Oreochromis niloticus: one gene and its partner. The protein of the gene in region 2 interacts with the protein of the main gene of each other region in a pairwise test. Links are inferred from orthologs where the notes say so. Each region holds a gene or a part of one and is shown on either strand. Other genes may lie near its edges. The genes, in order: nmi and mtmr9.

Region 1 (13,095 bases), on a different chromosome or scaffold from region 2:
GAGTACTTAAATAGCACAGTAAATGAGTTTATTTATACAACACTTAAGGTTGGGCGATACGTCAAATTTTTCCAATCGACATTCGTCAGTCCAATAAATGACGACAGGCGATATATTCGTGCAGGTGACTTTTTGATGGGCGGAGCAATGAAATCATGTGCGGACTGATTTGTGTGTTTAGAATTTATAACTTTTGTTTGGATGGAACATTTTACCTTCTTTTCCTGTTTGTTTCAGTATTAATGTTGCTACTTTTTGGATTATTCATTTATTTATTTATTTAGTTATTTGGGCCAAATTGCACAAAAGACTTAACTTTACATTAGAGACTTGTTTTTAATGTTCACTGGAAGAGACATTTTGATTTTTAAACTTACTTTTTGTTTAATTTTGTTTTTGCTGTTTGGTCGAGTGTGTGAGACAGATACACACAGTTATAGTAGAAAAAAAGAAGCCAGTTTCTCTTTGTTTCCCTCCCCAACATTGTAGGTTTTTTTTTTTTATTTAAATAAAATGATTTTGTTTTTTCTGAACACAGGCTACTGCGTTTCTTTCTGTTATGAGTTTGAGTAAATGAATCACTGCATTTGCTTGCAGCTGGAGGAGTGTGCCGTTAAAACAACGCTATTATTGTTTTGTGTCTCTTAGCCTCAACCAACATTATTAGCAAACTTACTCATGGGCAAATAAATAAATCACTCTTGTAAAAACGATCGGTGAAAGGCTCAGCCTATCGTTGATGGTCGATAATATATTCGTCCAATCGCCCAACCTTAATAGCACTTTTCACAGTAATAACAACCACAAAGCACTGAACAACAATTCCAACACAATACAAACAAAGAACCATATCAAAAACAGAATTTAAGGTAAAAAACATAAACAGGAATATCAGCAGATGGCCTGATTAAACAGAAAAGCGCTCTGTGCGTAAGTGTGAGAACTTTAAAATAAATTCAACAAACTTCTGTGAACTTCAGTTGTTGAACTGTGAGGGGAAGCCACAGCAGCCTGCAGAAAAGCCACACAAGCAAAACGTGCTCACAGAAAGCTCTAAAATCAGATTCGAAGTCAGAACCTTCAAGCTGTGAGGCTCCGCCAAGACACCCAGTTCCCAAAGACAAGTCAGTAATAAGTTTAGTAAGCACTGCGGCATCAGCTCAAACCTCGCACAACAGAAGGATACAAATCTGGGAGAACTGTGCACACGTGTCACTGTGGGGAAAGAAGAAATCATTGAAACATTTTGTGGTTTAACTGCAAGCACATTAACATCTCTGTTTAGAGGTATTACATCAAATGCTTGTTAGACTGACAGCGTGATCGAGGAAGGTTTAGGGCTGATCTTTACAGTAGCAGCAGCAGTTTGCAAAACCTGGGAGCTGATTCTAAGAGAAAAGCAAGGTAACGACGATGCCCAATCAATCAACCCAATCACCTTTGACGGCTGAGGGGTAAAAAGGTCAAAATAAAAACTGTGTGTATGCAGATAAACTGTTAGATAATTCAATCTGGCAAATTCTTTACAAACTTTGTTGACAACAGATAACTTGTCTCGCTCTAATGGTAATACAAGCAGAAGTAAATCTAAAGAGAGGCATAGCATTTTAAAAATAGTGGAGGAAATGCTAACTGCTGCTCTTCTCATATACATCTAGAGTATATACATTAAGGTAGTAAAGTAACTGAATTAAATAAGCAGCCATTAAAAGTCGGATGTACAGGCTTGGTGACACAGGGAGGAAAAGGTGTGAAAAGTGATCCTCTTTACATGAATGTCAAAAACCCACAATGATCAACACTTTTCCAAACTCTTCATTCTTCATTTAGTGGTGACTCACACAAAATTCCACGGCACATACAATTTTTGGTGACTGGTAAGTTACGAACAGGTAACAGAAGACTTTATAACACATCTTTTTAAAAAGATGAAGTTTATCCACAACTTCAATAAGGTCAGTCACCTGCCTGCTTTTCTGTTCTTCCACTTTCCCCACACTGTCAAGCTCAGTACTTGTGTCATTACTCTAGTCAAATCATCCTGTCCATCTTCTTTGAGCCAATTAGCCTCTGCTTTGCATGGCTTAAACAGACTCGTCCATGCAACCAACCTCCTCCCTATCTCCACCTCAGCCATAGCTCCACCCAAGCCTCAGTCTTCATCTTCACCACCACCAGAGTCTAGACTCCAGGGGGTCCTGTCCCAAATCCCATCACTGCTGGGATTCTGTTCTGCTATGATGGATCAACGGGGTCTAATCGCCAAATACATTAACTTTTCTATTTCAATAAATCATGCTACGTCAATCAACATTCATAATCGCTGTATGTATCACAATGTTTCTGCAAAGTTTAATTCCGAATGGCCGACACGATGAGTAGGAGGCAGGGTACACACAGACTTACGTCATGGTCATTATAGTAAGAGACAGACCTGTACAACTGATTCAATATGGAGAAGCTGGAACTAAATGATGTGTAACAAATCATATCTACAAACATCCATGAAGCACCATGTCATGTGATTTTAAAGTCGCCACAGCAGGTTTTGCTAGTACACCTCAATCTATTGTTGATTTTATGTACAGTTAATTCCATGCAGGTAACTTTAAATCTTGGTTCATCCTTTAACAGTTTACTTTCAACTAAAATCACTCTACCTAACACATCTTTACCTCTTGGCCTCCACTTTGATGGCCACGCAACATTTCTGGGCCGCCTCTGAGACCCTGTCATCCTCCCAGCTGGACATCAGCTGTGCTGACTGTTCATCTTCTCCTAAGGACAGAGTGACAGGAAACTGATGAGACATGTGGTCAAAACTACGGGTCCAGCTTCACTGATGGAACTGCAAAAGAAGCGCAGATCTCATCTTTTCCAACTCTTACAGTAACGTCCCTCTGCGTAATCTGGGAACCACTTTTCTCTCCTCTGTTCTCAGTGTTTCTGTGATGCATTGATGTATTACAGAAACAACTGTGCCAGGTTGGAGGCACAAAACCAGAGATTTTGACTCCACAGAAAACAGAAGCTGTTTGTCACTTTGTGTCAGCTTCATGCTCAACAACATCTGTTCAGATCAAAATCCATACACTGTTGTATACTACTAACACTGTCTATATCTGGTCCAGTGTGATGCTGAGACTTATTGTAGAGAGCTATTTAAAGGAGACCATGCCATGAGTCTAGTTCTTTATAATTCGTTATTTATTTTACATACGATCCTAATCCTTTCCATAAATGTTTCTTTTTGCATCTCGCTTTCTGATTAATTACAAAACACAGAGATATATGCGGCATATCGTGAACCATGCTGACTATGTGGAGCTCCTTTTGCTCCACAGCGCCCTGTCATACTGTGATGTAGCGCTGAGGCTGGCCAAGTAAGTGTACTCAGCTACTGTTCTGCAGGTGGACGGACTGTCCCTCATTTATGAAATCCTCGGACTGGCCTGCGGAATGCAAACAACTAACGCTAGCGTTACGTCAGCCCGGTTCAGCTGTGAGGACAGCAGGTGCTGTTGCACAGGACGTTACGCCGACAGACCCTGTACACCATAGATACGTTACTAGACTTCTGTATTCTTGCTGTCGGTGGGTATTCATCAAATACATATGACGACTTCTTTCATAACACACTGACTATGCTAATTAGCTAATGGCTACAATGGCTTCCAACGCTAACTGGCTAGCACTCTATAGAGTTTCCGCATGTTTTCAACTGTTACCTGTGATGACAACGACAAAGACCAAACTCCGTTGTTTAGCCGATTTAATGGCATCAGGAATTGAGCCCTGAAACCAAAACATCATTGCAAGTTGAGTTCTGTGTTTCTGCTTTGGAGACACAGACGAGCAGCTAGGCTAACCAAACCTAAAGCCCAGTCAGCCTGTCACTTTCTACTTCCGCTCCCAGCGCATATCAGCTGGCTGCAGCGTCAGCTTCTCTTCTTCTTCTCCCCTGTTTAGCGCCCCAAGTGTTGCATTACTGCCTCCTCCAGTTTCACTAATTAATCACAATCGTATCATTGCTATCCGGACTTTATGCTAATAAATTATTGTCGAAAAGAGTCTCCTCCTGTTCTTCCCTGACCCTAAACTTTGCAAATCTGTAATCACCTCTCCTCTTGTTCATTGCATCCATGTGTCAAATCAACACAGTTACATTCTAAAGAATAATGGGGAGTAATGGAGTGGTTATGAACTGTAGCAAAGAGTGTTTATTTAATAAAAAACGGGCTTATGGGAGGTCCAGGCCCACCCACCGAAGTAACTGCCATAGTGATGGGCAAAGCACGGCTTCGTGAAACAACGTAACGTATTTAAAAGAGACATAAATACTAATTTCACTTTCTGTGGGGATCATCCAGAAACTGTGACACACCTTTTTTGGTACTGTTCTTCTACACAGAGCTTCCGGAAGGAATTTAGCTGGTTTGTTATTGTCCATATTTTGAGGGGGTTTTCTTTACGATTGGAAAATGTTTTATTCTGTTTCTTTAAGTTCCCCGAGAAGAATGATAAATGTTTTTTATATAATAAATTTCTTAATACATTTAGCTAATTGTTTTATCCATAAATCTACGTTTAATAATAAAACACCATATTTCTGTCACTTTCTTAAGGATGTAGAATTGTACATAAACTCAATATCAGACTCCACCAACAAAAAGGCTCTTAAAACAATTCATATATGTGAATTTTTGCGTGTATTTATATAGTTATTTTTTTCCCCTGGTTTTGTGTGTTCGTGTTCTTTTCTCTTGTATACCTCATCTGTTTATATGTTGTATACTCATTGTTTGTTCAATAAAGTTCTTTAAAAAAAAAAATGAAAACAAAACAAAGCGTAATGTTCGAAGCGTTACAGCCGGTCGAGGCTTCGAAACAGTCGGAAACACATGTCCACAGTGACATCTGCTGGCCAATTTGACTATCGCCATATATTGATAATACTGTTCTGTGAAACACTGATGCAGACAAGCCCTGCACAATTCCAAGCAGAACTACTTACAATACCAGACTGTCAGTAATGGCGATGAGCACATGTTTTGGAGAAACTCCCACACAAACAAAGAAAGAACAATACTGAGACTGTTAAAGACAGCAGGTGATGATCCTAATAAACAGTGTGCTTCAACAAAATTCTCTCTCTGTTAACATTTGTGTTGCTTACAGTAAGTCAGTTTATAAAGTAATACATACAGAGAGCAGACTGCTGTGGTTACTGTAATAACCACACAGGCTTCCAGCTGGTGTTGTTTTTGCTCACAGCCCTCAAAGACTGGATGTGTTTGGTTGATTTTTAAGTTTTCTAGGAGTTATCAGGTTTGTTCTACACACTGTCAAGTAAAGTTAGAAGATGGCATAACATTCGCTTTTATTTTTAATTAATTTAAAAAATATTCATTTAAATGAAATGTGTTTTCCTTCTTTGTAAAAAGTTCACATTTCTCACATTTTCATTGGCTAATTCTGACCAATCGTAAGAGTCCATTTCACACACCATCTTTCAACTCTGCTGTGCAACCTCTGAACCATGAAGAAACTTTCCTTAAATTTCTATTGCTGTATCTTGTAACACTGATGTGATGTTTGAATCAGAAGTTTTGGTTATAGTGAACCTGCGGCCTCCTGTTGTTTATGAGATATTTGAAGTGAATAAAAAAGGGAAAAGAAAAATCTGTCATGTCATCTGTGGGTTTTTTCTAGATTTTATTTTTACAGAATAAATATTTTACTTATGGTGACACAGTATGTGAGTAACAGGTTATTGTGATGATGAAGTCACTAATGCTGCAAATAACACTTTCTGTTGAAAGCAGAGAACAGACTCCTCCTGTTTTATTTTGTCCTTGAAAGCAGAGGCGAGTTTTATTAAGCTATTATAATTAATGTACAGCACAGAGTGCCGCTCTCTCTCTCTGCTGATATGAGTTAATGGAGCTCACCCACAAGTCTCTGTTTTTCTTGCTTTCTCTCATCTGTATGACAGTAATTGTTGAATAAGATGATTATTCGTCAATCTAATATTTATTTAATTACACTTTTGATTCCAGTGTTTGAGTCATTGAATGGTCTAAATTGGTCTTCACAATCCACAGCAGGTGGGGTATTGCTTCTTTTACACATGCACCTGTAATAAATCCAAGCGGTAGTATTAAAAACATTAACTCAGTATTTACAGATGAAACTGGTTCATGAGAAACTGGCACTGCCTAAAGCAGCAGGTACACAACCTGTAATAATAAGTGTAATAAGAGAAAGGGTGTAGTCAGCACTTTGTGTAGATGTCTCAAAGTTGTGGGCACAGTGCCAAAACTCTGTCCTAAACCTTTTCACTCAGTCTTTATAATGAGGGTTTTGAGGCAAGCTCCACTGATTATGATAGTAATACTGGGATTTCCATGAAATGAACTGAGCTGTCTTTGACTTTGACCATGACTTAATCACCTGTAGTGTGTAAAGACACCACTAAAGCTGAACTGAACTGCTGCATTTGACTTGCTACCTTTTCAGTTTTCCTTCCATTGCTTTCACAGTAACTTCCAATATGTGCTGCTTACACATCACCATCCAGGAAACTGACTTCTTTAGACTGTGCCACTCTGAGCAGAAATAGATGAGCTTATTGACGTCTTCTTATTTGTTGTTACTTCTGTAACATCGATTACTTCTGAAAAGAACTTCAACATTGTTCCTCCCTTGTGGCAGCGGAGAAGCAGACGTGAGCTTTACCAGAAGAGACTGTGCTGTAAAGTGCAGCCCGGAGCTGCAGAAGCAGCACACGTGTGAAGCACGAGCAGAATAAAGGAAAGACTCTCTGAACAGTTTCCAGGGTCTCCCCATAACAGCCAGTGATACAAATATAATTTTGTTGTTATTTATCAAAAAATTGATAAATAACTCTAACTATGTCTTATATTTGAGATTCCTGAGAGTAGCCACCCTTTGCTTTGTTGAGTGCTGCAAACCCTTGGCCTTCTCTTCATTATGTAGTCACCTGAGAGTTCTGGGTCATGTTGACCCAGCATTTTGAGTTTCTTGTGTTTTGGTGTTAATTTGTATTATGTTTATGTTTTAGGTTCATTAGTAGTCTTAAGTTTAGTCTGTTCTGAGTTTCTTATTCTTATATTGCCTGCTTTGTAGCCTGAAAATATCTTAAAAGTTTATTTTGTGATCCAGAAAGAGTAATATTTCAAACTCCGCCGCTCTGCGTTCCTCTGCAAATGCCTTGTTTGAGTTTTGGACGAAATGCATACTGGGATATTTGCCTGGGTTTGGTTACAGTAGCTAGCGAGCTGAATGGAGAAACTAAAGCAGCCAATCAGAATTTTTGCATCCAAATCTGTGATTTTTTGGTTTTGTGGCACAAATATAATGCTGTACAGAAAGAGTTGAACGTGCAGGGGCAGAGATGTTGAAAGCGCGAGCAACACATTGAGAGCAGGTCCGCAGAGATCTGAGCAAGAGCAAATGCAAAACCTGAGCGAGAGGAATAAATTTCTCCTCAAAATGCAACACTTGTACTTTTTTTTTTACGTGCTCTCAGAATAGTGAGACAAAAATAACACCATAGTGTTTGACCTCTGTGTCCCTCCCTGTGTGTTTGTGTTTATGTGTGCGTGTGTGTCCTTGTGTCTTGTTTCTCTTTTCTCTTCCCATGTTTCGCTTCTTGTGTTTCATTCCACGTTCCCCCCGTCTATGGATTTTTTAGGTGCTGGTAACATATTGTACTATTTAAAATAAAATACACATACAAAAAAAATGTAAAATCGTTTTTTGTTTTAAAAATATTTTTGTTTGTTTGTTTTTGTAATTAAATGGGTTAAGAATTTCATGCATATTTTTAGCCAGAAAATTGCGTGTTTTTTCCTTTATCTAAAGAATCAGTAGCTTCCAACACACACACGAGATGTTTTTATTAATTTATTTCTTTGACTGTGAACTTTTGTCACACTTGGTCTTCCATACCGGGAAGCTCGTCACACCAGGCTGTAACTTTCACTTTTGATTTGGAGCTGTTTCCGGCACAACAGGGCCACTTTGTTTCTTTTCTAACTTCGACAGAAAATAATAAGTACTCAAAAAAGAGGCAGTGCAGTCACAGCTGGCTGATTTTTGGATCGTAGCTACCAAGTGAAGTTTTCATATCTGTTTCTTTTTTGTCATTCAGACCATGGCTGAGGTCTTCGGTAGTCGCTCGCTAAATGATAAGGTGAGTAATAATGTGTTCGTCTGTTTGTTTGTTTTAGTCCGTCTAAGAAGAAACAAGTGGTCCACAGTTGTTAACGATGCCATTCTTTCTTGGCAGAAGGAAGGAGGCCTGGATAAAGACGGTGAACTGAAGGAGGCCAAGCGAGAGTTGGAGGCATGGAAGGTAGGCCGGAACTAATGCTGAACTACATTTTCCATTTTCAGGCGTGAAGTGTTTTAGTTCAATAGTAAAATAAGTTCACGATCCAATCGTCAAAATACATTTATGGGAAAACGACAACTGCTCAGCCGGAAGTGTCTTCATTCTCCGTTTATAGAAGAAGGTGGTTTGTTTACTCAGTACTGTGAGTGATCTGAGTGATTTAAACAGTAATTACAGTTCTCAGATCTCTTATTTAAGTCGAGATGCAATCCTGCATCGTAAAGGCAAGCCCGGAACTAAGTATGTTCTACAAATAAACGCACTGGACTGAAAAGCCTGAAAGAGTCTATCTAAATGCCCATATTATAATAAATGTCATAATATTCATTGATATAATTTATTAGCATTGAGACATCACGGGATACATTTTATTTACACATTTGAGATTAAACTTTAAATGGTTACTTATATTTGGCTGCACAGAACATGCAGTTTGCAGCTGAGGTTTGCAGTAAACAGGGAGAAACCGTAAAGCAGCTCGCTTCAGCAACTGAAAGTCAGATGGAATGGGCCCAGGCAGCATTCCATAGGGTGTAGGCCTATATTTGCTCAACTAAGAACTATTTTGACGGCTTTTGAACTTTTGATGGCTCACACTTTAGCAAACAAGGTGCAGGTGAAGTGAGCTCGACCAAAAATGAATAAACACTGTTTTAGTCCTTTGTTTGGGGGAAAGACTGGCACATAGTCTGTCAACGGCTGCACCATTATCCTGTGAAACATGCACAATTACCGTGATCAGTACAGATCTTGATTAGTGATTGCTCAGGAGCCTGTTTATATAGAAAATAAATAAAGGTACATAAGGTTAATGTCAACTAAAATGCAGGCATACAACACTAGGGGGACGCAGAACGAATATTGAGTTTCGTCAGTGAGCCAAGTGCACAGCATTGTTTAGGATTTCTCTTTTAAATTTATATCATAAACTATTTATAAATGCTTCAGTTCTTCCACTTTTCCCTCATAAGGACATAAAAACTAAGTAAAGCCTTGTTTCTCTTCCAAATCTGTACTTTTCTCACTTATCAGCAGTGGTATTATATCATTCAGAATGACTTGAGTATATTTGGTCATGTTTAAATGTCTGTCAGTGAGAGAATAATTTTATTTGAGTAGCATGTAGTCTCTTTGTAGACTGCCCACAGTTGTATTCTCTCTGAACACCCCCCATATCTCTTAAAGGCTAAATTCGAAAAAGCGGATGATACGAAAGCCAGGCTGATACTGGAAAAGCTGGGGGAAGATGATGCCAAGTCAGAGGCACAGCAGGAGATGAACGTTTGTGTCAAAAACCAACAGAAGACCCAGGATGAATTTAATCAAAGCATGAAAACAGTTCAGGTACACTTATAGTCTTCTCTGTAACATCTACATTACACTCAGAGGAACTGAGAGTACAAAACTCTCACCAAATATTCCATTTTATTCTTTTCCATAGGATGAAATCCAGAAGCTGACTAGATACAATCAAGATTTGCTGGGGAAACTGAAGAGATGTCAGGCTGAACTGGAGGCTAAGAAGACAGAGTCCTGCAAGTTACAGCAGAAATTCAAGGTAAAAACCAGGAACACTTTCAGATCTGTCCATCTGCTCACATTTACATACAATAATCACAGGCATTAATGTGATGGTAATTATGGTAATGATTTCTTTGAATGCTTGTTTTTCCAGGGTGGAATAATTATACAGAATATCTGTTTAATGAAAACTGGAAGCATAAGTTTGAATTTTTTTTGGGATTTTCCACACATGGTCAAAAGTAAACTTACAGGCTCCAGTATATACATGCACCACCAAACATATTAAAATGTCCTTTAGCAAGTTGCATCTGGGTATTGAGCTATTTTGAGGTGAGAGCAAATTTACACTGTTACACAAGCTGTACACTGACTATGTTACATTGTATCAAAGTGTCATATCTTCAATGTTGTCCCATGAAAAGATATAACAAAATATTTACATAAATGTGAGGGGTGTACTCACCTTTGTGAGATACTGTATAGACATACAGGCTCATATATATTCTTTTGAGTGTGTGTGGATTCAATTCTAAATTGTGCATCTTAATTTCAGTTTTTTAAAATTCCTTCAAGAGCTATGCTCTACAGTCATTCCACCCTGTGAAAGGCAGTTCACGGCCCCAAATAAAACGGTGACTTTCATGTTCCTGATCAGTGGACACAAACGTCTGACCACAGCTGTATACACATTGAAACAGATAACGGCCTGTAACTCTGTATTGTCCCATCTGTCCAGATCTACGCCCAGATCCCAGACACAGAGGTGAAATTCATTTCTCAGCATAAAGAGCCAAGGGAAGAGGGTGACGAGGACAGTCAGCCAATCAGAGGAGTGTTTACCATCAGCCAGAGAGCTGCTGTGCTTCTGCAGGGAGGACAGGCTCTCATCACCTTTGAGGAGGAGAAAGGTAGACGTCATTTGACTTCAGTACTCTGTATGGTTCATTCTTACTTATGTTAATGTTAATGAAACTAAAAATAAGGAGTCCTCATGGTTTTCCATGCTTTGCTGTGTAAGATATTTATACAACGACAGTTAGCACTGTCACTTGGAAAAAGACACATACAAGACAGTTAAATGCTTAAAATAAAAAACAGAATTTCAATTTCAGATAATAAATATGAAATTATGATTTCAGACAGACGTGGTTGTAAACTTTGGATCAGCTGTTTCAGTTTAAGCGTTGTTTTCAGTAAACTGCTCAAGAAAATGTTTTGTCTCCCATTTCTTGAAACTTGGAACCTTGTTAAGATCCAACCAAGCAAAATATGATTTTTATGCCATTTTTCAAGTGGTCTTTAACTTTTGATTGGGACTGTATCTGAAGCTGCACCTGCCACATGAATGTTCATCTTTTTAGTTTAACATGCATCATATCAGCATCAGATCAGAAATCTCTGCAACACCAGCTATAACAAAATCAAATACTTGATTTAAACTTGGGTGATTTCCCTTTCAGATTTTTGTCCTTGTGCATGTTTGAACCACTTCCAATACTGCTGCTATTGTAGGTCACGCCTACCTGCAGTTTCACTTGTTAGTGGTACAGGTGGTGATACTTTCTAAAATAAAATTACAACAGTCTTCAGTTATACTGAACGGTAAATGAACTGGTTATTATGAAGCGCTTTGTACAACGTGCCTCATTCTTGGTCTGCAGTGGCTCGTCAGATCCTGAAAATTGCCAAGTGCTCTGTGTCCTGTGAGAACAGCAGTTTGGACGTGAAGCCGAGAAGAATCACCATGGATCCTGCTGTGAAGTTCGAGGTAGATGCTTCGACAGTGTCATCAGGTTTTTTTATGCTTCAGTTAGTAAATGAAGCCTTATGGGTCACAACTAAAAGGAAAAAGAAACCAGAGCCTTATTTTTTCTGTTGACTGCATCTCTAGTTTCCTCTCTATAGTTTCCACAGTTGTAACACTGCCAGGTCATTAAAATCTGTCCACAGAGTAGGAGTGAGACAGTACACAGCTCCAGGATTACTTATTGCTGTGATGACACAAAGAGAATACTTTCCTAAAAATACTTCTTAACTAAAGCCAAAGTTTTTTGGTTTTAGTTAAAAAGTATTTCTAACAATACCGAACTAGATCCATCCTGAGTCATTCCCATGAAAAATATGGCCTTCTGTGTGCGGCGGGGTCAGAATGAACAAATTAAAACAGGAAGAAACTAAACAAGGAACACAGGAATGTAAACTTGACTTGGAGAACACAAAGAGCAGGAAAAATGACCTCCTGGGACAAGCAACAACTAAAACTACAACCTAATATCAAGAACCAGAAAATGGAAAATTAAGCTGGAATTTGTGACAACATAAAGAACATACTATACAGTAAATATAATAATGAATAAAACAAAAATAATAAACTCAAAGCATGGGGTTAGCAAACAAATATATAGGACTGCTTTCTTCCACTTATAATTTTTTTATATTTATATATATAATTTTAAAATCCTTCTCCTCACAAACCCTTCAATAATCAGGCCCCAACTTATCTTAAAGACCTCATAGTACCATATACCCAAGTACATCACTTTGCTCTCAGTCTGCTGATGTACTTATAAGACATTTAAAAGTAGGATGTGAGGCAGAGCCTTCAGCTTCCAGTTTGGATTCGTGAGACAGACACTATCTCTACTTTTAAGATTAGGCTTCAAACTTTCCTTTTTGCTAAAGCATATAGTTAGGGCTGGACCAGGTGACCCTGAATCCTCCCTTAGTTATGATGCAATAGGTGTAGGCTGCTGGGAGACTCCCATGTTGCACTGAGTGATGTTTTGTAATGATCAACACCCTGTAAACAGTGTGTGTGTTCACACCGATGTAGGTCCACCTTGACGTTTCCAGAAAGGAGCTGAAAGTTTCCAACGTCCCCGATGTGATGCCAGAAGAGAGAATGAAAGACCGACTGGAAATTAGTTTCTCCAGGCCCAGTAGAGGAGGAGGAGAGGTGGAGAAAGTGGAGTATGACAAGAACACCGGGACAGGGCGTGTCACATTCCTCCAACCTGGAGGTAAAACTCTATAAGATAATTGTGCCACATTACACAGTTCATTATTCTTAGTTAGTTGTTCTAAGTTATTCTGCACCGTTACAATAGTTCTATCCCAGCTAATTATGTTAATGCTCAAATGTATGTGCATTC
Region 2 (12,296 bases):
ATTGTGATTTTTGTATGACCTAACTATCAGCAATACAACAAATAATAACAAATGATGTATTCTTAAACTACGTAGGGTGACACCCACATTGACACCCACATCACACAGCTGAAAGTGTAGCCCTGACATCAACTGAAAGTCTAACATCAGCTAACTCCTATCTTACCTCTCAGCTGCACTGTTGCCCAAGAACGTCCCAAACTGAGATGCGTAGGCGTGTTCGAAGAGCAGTACCAAGAAACTCTCGTTGAATTCAAAGGAGCAGGGAAACTGGCGAAGGATCTGCCACACACAGTCCAGGAAGAGAAGAAAGACAGGGGCCTCATAGCGAGGCTTGCTGTTGGAGAAGGCAGACTGGGCACAGCGCTGCTGGAAAGGGTGACCAGCCTGTGTAAGCAGTCAAAGAGGTGAGAGGGGGGCCATGAGTGGAAACACCCACACTGTGGAGGAGAACGTGGAAGAAAACACAACATTTGGCTCTAAACAGTGCATCGAAGCTCACCTGGAGCCACTCCCGCTCTACCAGGCTTTGAAAGCCTTTAATGGTCCTGCAGCCGGGATCCAGGATGATCTGAGCCAAGGAGGTGACCTGCAGGGTGGAGTCTGTCCCTTCTGTACCGTGAACAAGCACTGACGCTCCCTCCCTGAGATAAACACATGAGCCCACAGTCTGTCACTGCTTGCTGCTTTTCGAGTTTATGTTTACTGGGACATGAGGACAACCAAATGAAAAACAGACCTGTCAATACACTGGGCAGCCAAGCAGGCAGTGGTGAGGATCTCTTTGACATTAGTTTGCCAGTTGGAAGCCTCCAACTTGCTTAACCAGCGGTCCATGCTGTGGGACTGGTCGTTACATGCCTCCACCAACTTAATCAGGCTCTCCTGAAGGACATTATACCTGCAAAAAGATTTATTTGGATCATTTAAATTAGCAGATACATTTTAATCAGTTTCCGCTTTATCTAGTCTTCTCGGTAATACTTCACAATACAGCCCACAACTAAGGGTGTAATTCCCTTTTTCATTAAATTAAAAGTTAATGTATTTTATTTGAAATTAAAATGTCATTATATTTACCTGCAAATAATTAAAAGTAGGTACACTAGAATGAGGGGGGCAACAAGTCAGCTTTTTTACAAGAAATTAAAACAAGTAAATTTAAGCTGTGCAATTTCTTGGTAATTTTGCAGAAAAACACAAGTTGCACTTTTCAGTGCCATATTATGGAGTGGATTAATCATGCCTTTTTGCATCTTTATTTTTTTTAATATTTGTTATGTTGATGTGCATGATGGACGTTCTATTACTCAAATGTCCTTAAGGCTTGTTGTCCCTTATCAGCTTACAAGAAAAAACAAATACCTTCAAAAACAGCCAGAATTCAGGCACTACTTAAATGTACTTACAGTATAATTATTTCTTTGATTCCTGTATAAAGGTGACTTGTTACCCCAGTATTCTAGCGTACCCACATTTAAGCATTTATAGGCAATTATAATAATAATAAATTGAAATTCCATTTATTCATAGGGGAATTGCAATGCAGCAGACTCTAAACAGGTCGTATTATAAAGTGTTACTGTCTTCTTAATATCTAAGTGTCCAAGCACCTTTCAATGGCCTTGTGGATCCTCCTCCACTGTGGGTAGTTGGCCTCCAACTCAAACCCTCCACCTCGGGCTTTGGCCTGCTGAGCAACATTGATAGCGCGTGTATCAATGATGTAACCACGCTTTCCTGGCCGCAGAGTGGCGTTGATCAGCTTCTCGTCCTCCTTACACCGTCGCCCATTGGTGCCTGTCAGTGGCTGTCCTGCTCGCATCATCACCTGAAAGTGCAAGTGATTTGTCAGCCGCTATAATTAGAGATGGCACGATACCACTTTTTTATGTCCGATACGATATCATAAATTTGGATATCTGTCGATACCGATATAAATCCGATATAGTCTATTTTATAATCAATAAAACTGTTTTTTTAATATCTTGCATATCTTGTATATGGTCATACTCAAATTTAAAAAGACAAAACACTAAAGCTATTCTATTACACTTGCAAAAAATACACTGCATCCAAAATATTTTGCAGTTCAGCAATACTGATCTTTTTATTTAAGCTTTTAGCAGAACTGTAAATCTAAGTATTTAAAGTAATATTCAAAAAGTAATTTAAAATTCAATTTATACAGATTTCAAAAACTCTTTGGTTCTGAAAAAAAGAAGTGCCATATCAGCACAAAATAATGTTTATATTCAACAACTAAAAAATAAATGGGTTGTAGAATGGACCCTTTTATACTTAAAGCTTAACATAAATAGATATCCAGAGTGGAAAGCAGTGCAAATAAATGCAAACATGCCTTCATGACACTCATGTTTTATCAAGATGGATGTCAGTGTAAGAAGTTTCTATCACATTTAATCTTAGACTGAATTTTGTGTAATTTCTATACAAAACACAAGTATGAAAAAGTGTTTTCATAGTTTTTTGGGGGGGAACCACGGAACTGTTTAACCTGCAACACAGTTGTTTTTTTTTCCCAAAGTAAAACTTGAGTCTATCCATTGTACGGTCAGACTTAGCAATGACAACGCACAGACGTCCGAGCTCCATATATCAGTTGTTAAGCTTAACGTAACAATGCTTGACAAACATTCAGAGATGAACTTACACACTTGCTTTACTTCTCTGGGATAGCTTACTCAGAGGTGAAATACCGGTTTGGCAGCACGTAGCGAGGCTCCAGATGCTTTCAGTGACAAGCAACTCCAGACCACCAACAGGTCTCGCACGCAACAGCCGCTCTATCACGTGACGCATACTTCTCTGACGTGCTAAGGTCACTACCTGGGTTAAGCCATGTTGCAAGTTTTGTAAGGTGCTTTTGTAATATTTAATGGATCGGGTTACATTTTTTATTTCTCCTCGATATCCAATCCAGTAATTCAGGTCAGGATCGGACCGATACCGATACTGTATATTGGATCAGTCCATCCCTAGCTATAATGTTCAAATACACAAACAATGAGAAGCAAAAGAGATGGTCAAAGGCAGAGAGTAATTATCTTTCCTTGCGCTTACCATGCCGTTCTTCTTGTGATAGTAGCTAAGTACTGGAAAACGGCCACCGTGACGGAAAGTAGCTACTTTCTTCAGCGTTTCATCATCAACATCTTTGGGTACTGCTACTAGTGGGGGGTATGACGGACACAAGCTGAAGTCTTTGTTGACCTCACTCAGCCTCCACTCATCTGTCTGCAAAGTGATGTAGAGGGGAAAAAAGGTCCAATAACCCTGATTCAAATTGAATTACTCTGTAATGTCACAGCAGAGACCTAAACGTACCATGGACTCCAAATCTTTAAAGGCATTCTGGGGAAGAAATGAATTCCATCCATCCTCTATGACTTCAAACATAGGCCGGTAGAAGAAAGGGTACATCAGGGAGACTGAATCAAGAGTCGACAGAGCCTTGAGAGGAATGAAAACATTTAGTTGTTATTCACAATTTTAATCACATGCAGAATTTAACTTGACATGACAAAAACAAAGAGAGCCTGAGAGAAAAATATAGCGTAGCTAAAAATAATCACTCTCTTTCCGGCGGGGAGCCTTTGTTCTTACCTCGATAGAACTGGCAATGTTGAGACACTCCTCCATACCAGTGATTTCAAGCTGAATCATTCTCAAGTCTTTGCATTTGACAGTGATGTGCCCCAAAGACCCCACAAATCTAAAATTTAAAAGGTGAGCACAATAAAGAGGATGAATATCATGAACAAACACAGAGTATCAGTGAACTACTCTGAGCCCTACAGCTCGGCTTTCTGTGTGTAATTTGCATGTTATCCTCATGTTGGGTTTCTGGAAGAATCTTTGAAACAACTGTTAGTTTGACTGTAGATTCGGTGATTGTTATTAAAGGCAGTCTCAGTACTCAGTGCTCAGTACATAAGCTCTAAGCAGCAATATGCCCCAGCTACAGATGAAAGAGTGGATTGGCCAGTATCCAAGTACAATGAGCTGCATAAATCCATTCTTAATGGATTAATGTGAAGGTATCTGCATGAAGTTCAGTCAGAAAGGCAGGATGATTTATGAGTCATTTGCTTTACAATGAAAGAGACAATACAGTGCTGTGAAAATGTATTTGCCTGCTTCGTTTTTTGTTTTGTTTTTATGCATATTTGTCACACTTTAATGTTTCAGATCAAATATATTTTAATATTAGACAAAGATAACCTGAGTAAATGCAAAATGCCATTTTAAAATGATGTCATTTATTAAAGGAAACAGATATCCAAACCTACCTGGAACCATCTAAAAAAAACCTAATAACTTGTGTTTTGCCACCCTTGGCAGCAAGAACTGCAATTAAGTGTTTGTGATAACTGGCAATGAGTCTTTCAGAGGTAGACTTGTGTGTTTCAGACCAATGTCCTGGTGCATAACCAAAGTGTGCTTGAGTTTCAGGGCATGAACTGATGATTGAACATTTTCCTTCAGGATTTTTGGGTAGTGGAGAATTGATTAAATACAGCAAGCCACCCAGATTCCGAAGCAGCAATGCAGCTCAGACCATCACACTAATACCACCATGTTTGACTGGTGGTATGACTTTGTTTTTTTAAATAAAATGCCATGTTAGTTTCATACCAAAAGGTTCAACTTCTGTCTCGTTAGTCCACAGAGTATTTTTCCAAAAGTCTTGGGCATCATCAAGATATCTTTTGCAAATGTCAGACAAGCCCTTTGTGTTGTTTTTGGTCAGCAGTGATTTTTCACCTTGGAACTCTCCCATGGATGCCATTTTTGTGCAACATCTTTCTTATTGTTAAATCATGAACACTGGCTTTAACTGACGTCTTCAGTTCTTTAAAGGTTGATCTGGTATCTATTCAGACCTCCTGGATGTGTCAGTGTTGGTCGGCTGGGCACACTTGGGAAGGTTTACCACTGTTCCAAGTTATTTTCCATTTAGAAAACCCATACCTTAAGGTCATCTGCAGGTTCGGCCAATACTGGAGGAGAAACTGACAGTTAAGTACTAGGCAAACCTCCTGAAGCTTGTGTGTCCAACCTAAAATGTTTAAAGACGGTACAAATACCAGAAATAGCAGTGAAGAAAAACAAATTCTTTGCCACTACAAGCCCCGTGTCTTTAACCAGTTGATGTTAGTTTCTCTAACCAGTTTAACTATAAGCAAGTTAAGCATATGGACACTATTAATAAATAATCAGATCTGCAGCATGCACTAAAAAACAGGCGTAACTCAAACTGATTTTACCAAATGCATGCTCTACTGACCTGCATCTATTTAAGATAGGTGATGTACCATTTTCATAAAGAGATTACATAACAGTCATTTAGAAAAACAACAACACAACGCTGTCACCTCTTCTCTATCGAGTCAATGTTTGAATGAAGCAGCCACAGCTCCTCCGTGTTGTCCTGTCTGGAGGAGAGAATCAGGTGATGACCAGTCAAACACAGAGTCCCCTCCACAGTAGGCATGAAAGGCCTGTGTAGGACAACCCCGTCCACCCTGGGTGTCTTTATCAGCTCTGCAAACTCCATAATCTGACCAGACAGAAAGAAAAAAGACGCGGTGATTTTAAAGCATAAAGACAACGCTATTGGTTAAGTCAAGCTACTATTATTGTAAGGACAGGCCAGCGCAACCTCTGCCGACATATATGAGACATATATCGTGTGCGTCCATGTCGGTTAACAGTAAAGATGAAAAAGTACTACAAAAATAGGTCATCTTGATAAAGTTATTCTATTCCGGAAATTAAACCGCTAACGTCAGCTAGCAGGCTAATCGTGACAGAAAGGAGGATAATTTACCATATAAAACGGCCGACATTTCAAAATTCAAGCCAAAGCACAAACATCACGTATAATATAAATATTAAAAACAACAAGGACCATTTTTTACCAACACTAAAAATATTTATCGTACAACTACCTGACAATGTTTTCTTTTATTTGGTCGCAGGGCGATACTGGTACGTTAAGAAAAACACGCCGACTGGAAACAACCGGCTTTTCTCGGCTCAGTTCTGCATCCCAAATTCCGCAATTCTCGTCTAAAACGGGAAGTGACTCTGTGCTCTCCTGTGTTCTTTAACATTAGCGTTATACTTTAAATCTGTACAGCCGCCGAAGAACTTATAATGTCCACATATTAGATATACGTATGTTTAAACATCCATACGGCAACACAGTGAATGAGTTGGAGTTTAATGGTTTGGAGGCAGCGTCAGATCTGTGCTTCATCTACAAGGCTTCTGAAAATCCGTGAAAGGCTGTTTCATTTTAGTCTGTGTGTTTGGGGTCTACCGACCAATATCAAAAAAGGTCACTAGGTGGTGACATTGGAGTACTTTTGAGAGATTTCTGGCTTTCAGAAGTCTAAACAGTTTTGCCCTGATTTCACCGGGTAGATAATGTATGATGATAGATGTGCTGTGAGTCATGTTATACATTTAGACATGTTATTTAACATTAAGCTTAAAACGTTCCTTTTCGATAAAACTTAGAGTTAGTGCTGGATCAGGTGACCCCGAGCCATCTCTTTGTAATACTGTAATAGGCTTAGACTGCTGGGGAGCTTCCCATGATGCACTGAATCACGTACCTCTTGTCACTTCCTGCGGGTTTACACGCCACTACTCAATTTAATAATTGGCAATTATTAAACTCTAATTGTCTGTTTCCATTGGAGATTTTTTCCTATTAACAGAGAGATTGTCATTCCCACAGTTCCCAAGTGCTTCCTTATAGGAGCTCATCTGGTAATTAAAGTTTCTTTCTAATATTGTAGGGTATTTACCTTACAACATAAAGCAACTTGGTGTGACTGTTGTTGACAATTGTTGCTATAGACTGTAAAAAAAATGGAATTACACTAAATTATTGATCCAGCCTGGTGGTGGAGGCCTGATAATACCACTGATCACAGATAGGTATGCAAGGTAAGACTGCAGTAAGTCAGGTAAATGCACAAGCTGTAAACTAAAATGTAAGGGTATCAAGAAAACTTAGACAACAACAAAAAGAAAAAATAAGTGGACAACAATGACCTGCAGAGTCCCATCTCGAATTGAAAAAATGGGAGTTAAAGTGAACTGAAGACAGAGTTTTAACAGTTAATATTAAGTCCAATGATTCGAGGCCCCAAAGGAAAAAAAGTCTAGTGTGGGGTCTTTGTGTAGTTCCAAGTACAGTTTGACAGGCTGGTGTAGCAAAGTTTAACAAGGAGAGCAGAGAGAAGTCATATCTGGCCTGAGGAGGAGGAGGAAGAAGAGGAGGAGGAGGGGGGGTAGACGAAGGAGGAGCCAGTAGGCAGCTGGCAGGGGCAGAACAGACACAGGAGACTTCAGTACCCTTAAACACAAATGACAGAGGAGGAGGGGACCTACTGACAAGGCTAAGCATGAGCTCAAACTAAACTGCACTTTTCTGCTTTATGGATGCTGATTAAATAATCAGGAGATTAAAAAGCTGCACACACTCATACTCATTAGAGATAATGACATTTTGACTCGGGCTTTAAAGATCATGTGTGCGCTGCATTAGCTGAAGGCGGCTGGGGGGTTTATTCTAAAGAAAGGGCGTGCAGCAGGGGGAAAAAAAAGAAGAAACGTTGCCTGAGGTTTTTGTCTTAGCTCTCTGAATAGTGAGGACAACTGCCCGCTGAGATCTTAAAGCATATGAAGGAACACACAAGGAGCCTGAACGGCAGACTCCCTAAAGAGGTGAACGCTTTTGGAGGGAGAAGAAGAATAGCAGATAGCTTGGCAGAGGCTACTGTGGACCATTTTGTTTTAGACATTCTGAGCATTGTGTGGGTGTGTGTGTGTGTCTGTGATGTATTGCAAATCAGCACGGTATTTGCTTCACTTGCAGCCTGTCTAAGCTTCACAATAGATGGTTTGCTCTGGGCCTTCCCAGCCCACATCATAGGGAGCGCTGTACAGACACCAGGGCTAAATTGAATGTGAAACCCAGCGTTGCTTTACAAACCAAATAACTGCTCTTCTTCTGGGGAGAAGATGCTTTGCTGTCAAGAGATGAACTGATAAAAAATAACTTTCAAAGCAAACATGCACTTCACAGAATACAACAGAGAAGCCTAACCTCTATCTTTTATTTAAGAGGATGCTCTGACAAATGTGAAGATGATTTAGTTTAGCGTCTGTTATAAAAGATCCACAACCTACAAAAAAGAAGAATAAGTTATAAATATAAAAGTGGGTGAAGGATAATGACTGTAACTCCATGGAACGTGGGAAATCACTGCATGCAACTATTGCCAAAGACATACTCACATTTCCCATTAAAGGTGCTCTCACAGGCTCCCAGTTAACGTCAAACTGCGATCTGTTAAGTGTCCAAATTTGTCGCGAGGGAACTGAATGCTCACTCCCACACTTCCCACAGAGCAATTTTTTGACATTTATTGAAGAGTTCCAAACATGCTGGAACATCGTCTGGCAAATTTTAGGGGCTGGATAATTAGTACCCACACCAACACCAATTACTCACCCAGGCTCTTCATTCATCTTCTGATGAAGACAATCTCATCCATGATTCACTCCTTCACTTTAACCTTCTGTTCTGAATGGTTCTTGTTTGTGTGGTGTTATTTTGGGCATGTCCAGTGAATCAGAGCTGTCTGTCAAGGCAGATAATGACTTTGATGTAGGTGCGGAGTCTAACACCAGAATCTGTTGTGATTTTTCACTGTGACAAATGTCTGGATTTGCACTTCTGTGCTCCATCAGTAGGCTTATTGCCTCTGATCGAGTTGATTAAGCTCCTTCAATGAATAGTGATAGAGCTCAGTGTTTCTTTGTAATTTTTCTTTGTAATTGATTAGAACTTCTTTTTCTCTCATTCTTTGTCTTCTATTCCTGGTTTATATAAATTTACATACATAAGAAGACACACACAAACAAAAACAAAGCATGATCTGCCTTCTTAGATTTATACATTGATATTTTGGGGATAATTATTCACATCTGTAGAAGTGACCCATGGTAAAATTTAACATAAGCCAGATGGATGTTATTTACAGCATCACTAGTATTCATACAAAGTAGAGGAGAATCCCACAGTCTTGTTATTAGCTTCTCATTGCCACTTGTATTGATTTAACCTCTGAAATCACAACACAGCCTTGCCTACAGTGCATCATTGATTTGTTCAACCTGAACATATTATTCACAGGATGCCACATTTACATTTGAAGTAAAGCCACACTGCTTCGCGGATTCCTTGTACTTGGGTGGGAATCACACACATACTGCCTGAATAATTTTGCGTATGCCACCCTTAGAAAACCATCACCCCAGACCTACTCCTCAAAAAAGCCTTATTGTTCCTGTCTTGTATTCTTTCAGCCCTCTGAGTCCATCTGATCCCATGCTATCCGAATGTGTCGATTTTTGTATGTTTAACATGTTCTCCCACCAATTAAAAGAAAATGTTCTTGGAAATTAGTAATAAAAATATTTGAATTGATGCGCGTAACAGCTATTTACATTGCTTTTTCTAACAAATAAGTATTTGTTTGTTTATCTCTCAAAATGTTGGGATTTAGGACCATGTTTGGGGTCATCACTGACCTCACAGGGTTAAAGTTAACTCATCTCTGAGTCTCACACACTTACTACTGTAGGTTTGTGTTTTGCTTTTTTGTGTGTAAAATTATTGTTATTACAAGAAAACAGTTGTTGCTGTATAATTTTGTTTTTTAATTATTATTGCTCTGAGGCCTTTTTTTCACTGCCTACCCCAGGCCATTAAACCTGAGTGTGCATTCAGAGTGCTGCTCACAAGGCACTGTTTAGAGACCTGAGGTAGTAATGAAGTTATACCTGCTACTCTGAGCCAAATAACTGGTGCTGGAAACACTCCTCAGAGATTTTGTTCGACATGAGGATCACAAAGTTGCTGCAGTTGGCTGCATATCCATGATGTAAATCCCAAAGATGCACTATTGGATTGAGCTCTGGTTCCTGAACTTACTGAAGTAGTGGCACTTGGTGTGGTCTTCTGCTGCTGTAGCCCAGCTGCTTCAAGATTTGATGTGCTGTGCATTCAGAGATGCTCTTATGAATTCCTTGGTTGTAACAAGTGCTTATTTGAGTTGCTGTTGCCTGTTGCTGAAGCAGTCTGGCCTTCTCCTCTGACCCCTGCTTCAGCAAAGTATTTTCACCCAGAGAATAGCTGCTCACTTCATATTTTCTCTTTTTCAGCCCATTCTCTGTAAACCCTAGAGATGGTTGTGTGGGAAAATCCCAGCAGATCATCAGTTTCTGAAATACTCAGACCAGCTCGTCTGGCACCAACAACCATCCCACGTTCAAAATCACTTAAACCGCCATTCTTTCACATTCTGATGCTCAGCTTGAACATCAACTAGTTAGGCCTGACCCCTAAATGCAAATGAAATGTAATCGGCTGATTCAATGCCTGCATTAATAAGAAGATGACTGGATGTACCTAATGAAGTGGCCAGTGAGTGTAGATTGTAGGGATGCTTTTGTCAGTTGACTACCGGACATGTTATAGTTTTGTTTCCTCCAATTAGTTTTCATTTTAATTTCATTTTGACTGTTTGTTTTTAAGTCAGTTTTATTTAGTTAGGTTTTTTTTTTGCATTTTTTTGTCTTTTCAGTTTAGTTTTTCATTAGTTTTAGTGTTTTTATTTGATATTGTATGAAGGAACATGCCAGAGGCAAGATATAGGAAAATCAGCATATGTAGCACAATAGAAAACAGAGCTTTTTGAAAGCAGTTGACTCACAGTTTTGTAGAAATGCTAAGTCTCAGTAAAAACTAAAGCCTCATCAGGCAAGGTGGGATAATACATTTTGCCAGACTGACAAGGAGTAAACTTAAGGGTGTTTTCTTTATAGTTTTAGTTTATTTTAGTCAGTTGTTCACAAAATCATTTCAGTTCATTTTGAGTTTCTTTCCCTAAAAAAAAAAAAAAATTAGCAAACAAACTAAAATGTATATTTCACGTTAATTTTCAGTTTCAGTTTAGTTACAGTAACCTTGTTAGATAGATAACTAGTTCAGACGACGCGTTCTCAATTAGGGCCTTCGGGAATAAAGACAGAGCTGTCGAGGATTCAGCACTAGACAGCTCCCATCAAGTCCGCACAGGCAGAGCTGAGCAGACAGCGGGGGTGAAGCGGACATGATCCAATCAATCTCACATTGGATATGACCCTGCGTGGCAGCTCAGTGGGCACATTCTAATCAGAGTTGTTGAGCCTGCAGCGGACTCACCAGCTCTTTGTTCCCACATGTAACCCGAGGGTGGGGTGGGGGTGTTTTTCAGTATACGCTTAACCCCTCTGATTCCCACTGAAACAAACCCCATCCTATATTTTGTATAGAAGTTACCCATCTCTCTTTTTTGTATTAATAGTCTAAACATTTACGACTGCGATAAGAAAATAACCTCATATGCGCTCACACGCACGGCGAAAACCACAGCAGGTCACGTAAACTTTCGGGAGCATATGTTTTTTTTTGTGTTTTTTGTGTGTGTGTGTGTGTGTGTGTGTGTGTGTGTGTGTGTGTGTGTGTGTGTTTTACGTAAACGGAGGAGCTTCTGTTTTCATCCCACAAACAGTGACTCCAAACTGTGTCAGTATGATTGATTCAAACACTCAAGTCATCACCAAATCATCATCTACATTATGCAGTCAGCCCACTCCTACATATTTTGGGGCTTCAAATGAGACACTAGATGGCAACCACGTTGGCAGTGAGTCTGTGTGTGTGTGTGTGTGTGTGTGTGTGTGTGTGTGTGTGTGAGAGAGAGAGAGAGAGAGAGAGGGGGGGGGGGGGGGGGAGAGAGGGGGGGTGAATTACGTCGGCGTGGGACAGTGGAGGGACCGTCTGCTCATGGCACTCCGCTTGCAGCTGGAGGCGAGCTGCAGAGATGGGAAACAACTGAACAGCAGGAAATGAGATTAATGCGCAGGTAAAAATTGTTGGATCGCAGTCGGACGCATGAGTTGCCAATTAAATTGTTTGAACTCGCAGATTAGATTGTTGTTACCAGGTGGGAGTAGATCTGCAGTGGAGGGAAAGCAGGGGAAAATGTGCCGCGTCTGTTGCGCCACCGGTGCGCTTTCTGGGGACGGAGCGAGCGACGGCGACGCGCTGACACCCCGCTTTTAGATGGCTCCAACATTTGGGGTGCAAAACAGGTGTCAGGGAAGTGTCGTCACGAACCCCGGAAGCCGGAGGAGGTGGGAAC

What was found.
Region 1: the proteins of mtmr9 (region 2) and nmi interact in binary tests that used the Homo sapiens proteins (3 or more experiments, as listed by UniProt). The two-hybrid records come from large-scale screens. The link is inferred for Oreochromis niloticus from reciprocal best matches to the Homo sapiens genes MTMR9 and NMI.

The regions. Positions count from the first base shown.
Region 1 is NC_031987.2:33,062,049-33,075,143, forward strand, and holds the start of nmi (N-myc-interactor), read left to right. Parts: upstream 1-7,987; 5' UTR 7,988-8,179; coding exon 8,180-8,218; intron 8,219-8,314; coding exon 8,315-8,380; intron 8,381-9,604; coding exon 9,605-9,763; intron 9,764-9,860; coding exon 9,861-9,977; intron 9,978-10,679; coding exon 10,680-10,851; intron 10,852-11,604; coding exon 11,605-11,711; intron 11,712-12,776; coding exon 12,777-12,963; intron 12,964-13,095. Other genes in the region: ubxn4 (UBX domain-containing protein 4), read right to left, coding at 1,187-1,215, 2,676-2,778, 3,729-3,813. UniProt on the Homo sapiens protein: Acts as a signaling pathway regulator involved in innate immune system response.
Region 2 is NC_031980.2:8,514,651-8,526,946, reverse strand, and holds the start of mtmr9 (myotubularin-related protein 9), read right to left. Parts: upstream 6,115-12,296; 5' UTR 5,976-6,114; intron 5,585-5,975; 5' UTR 5,582-5,584; coding exon 5,400-5,581; intron 3,737-5,399; coding exon 3,628-3,736; intron 3,475-3,627; coding exon 3,349-3,474; intron 3,259-3,348; coding exon 3,085-3,258; intron 1,832-3,084; coding exon 1,614-1,831; intron 902-1,613; coding exon 740-901; intron 645-739; coding exon 503-644; intron 388-502; coding exon 167-387; intron 1-166. UniProt on the Homo sapiens protein: Acts as an adapter for myotubularin-related phosphatases. Increases lipid phosphatase MTMR6 catalytic activity, specifically towards phosphatidylinositol 3,5-bisphosphate and MTMR6 binding affinity for phosphorylated phosphatidylinositols.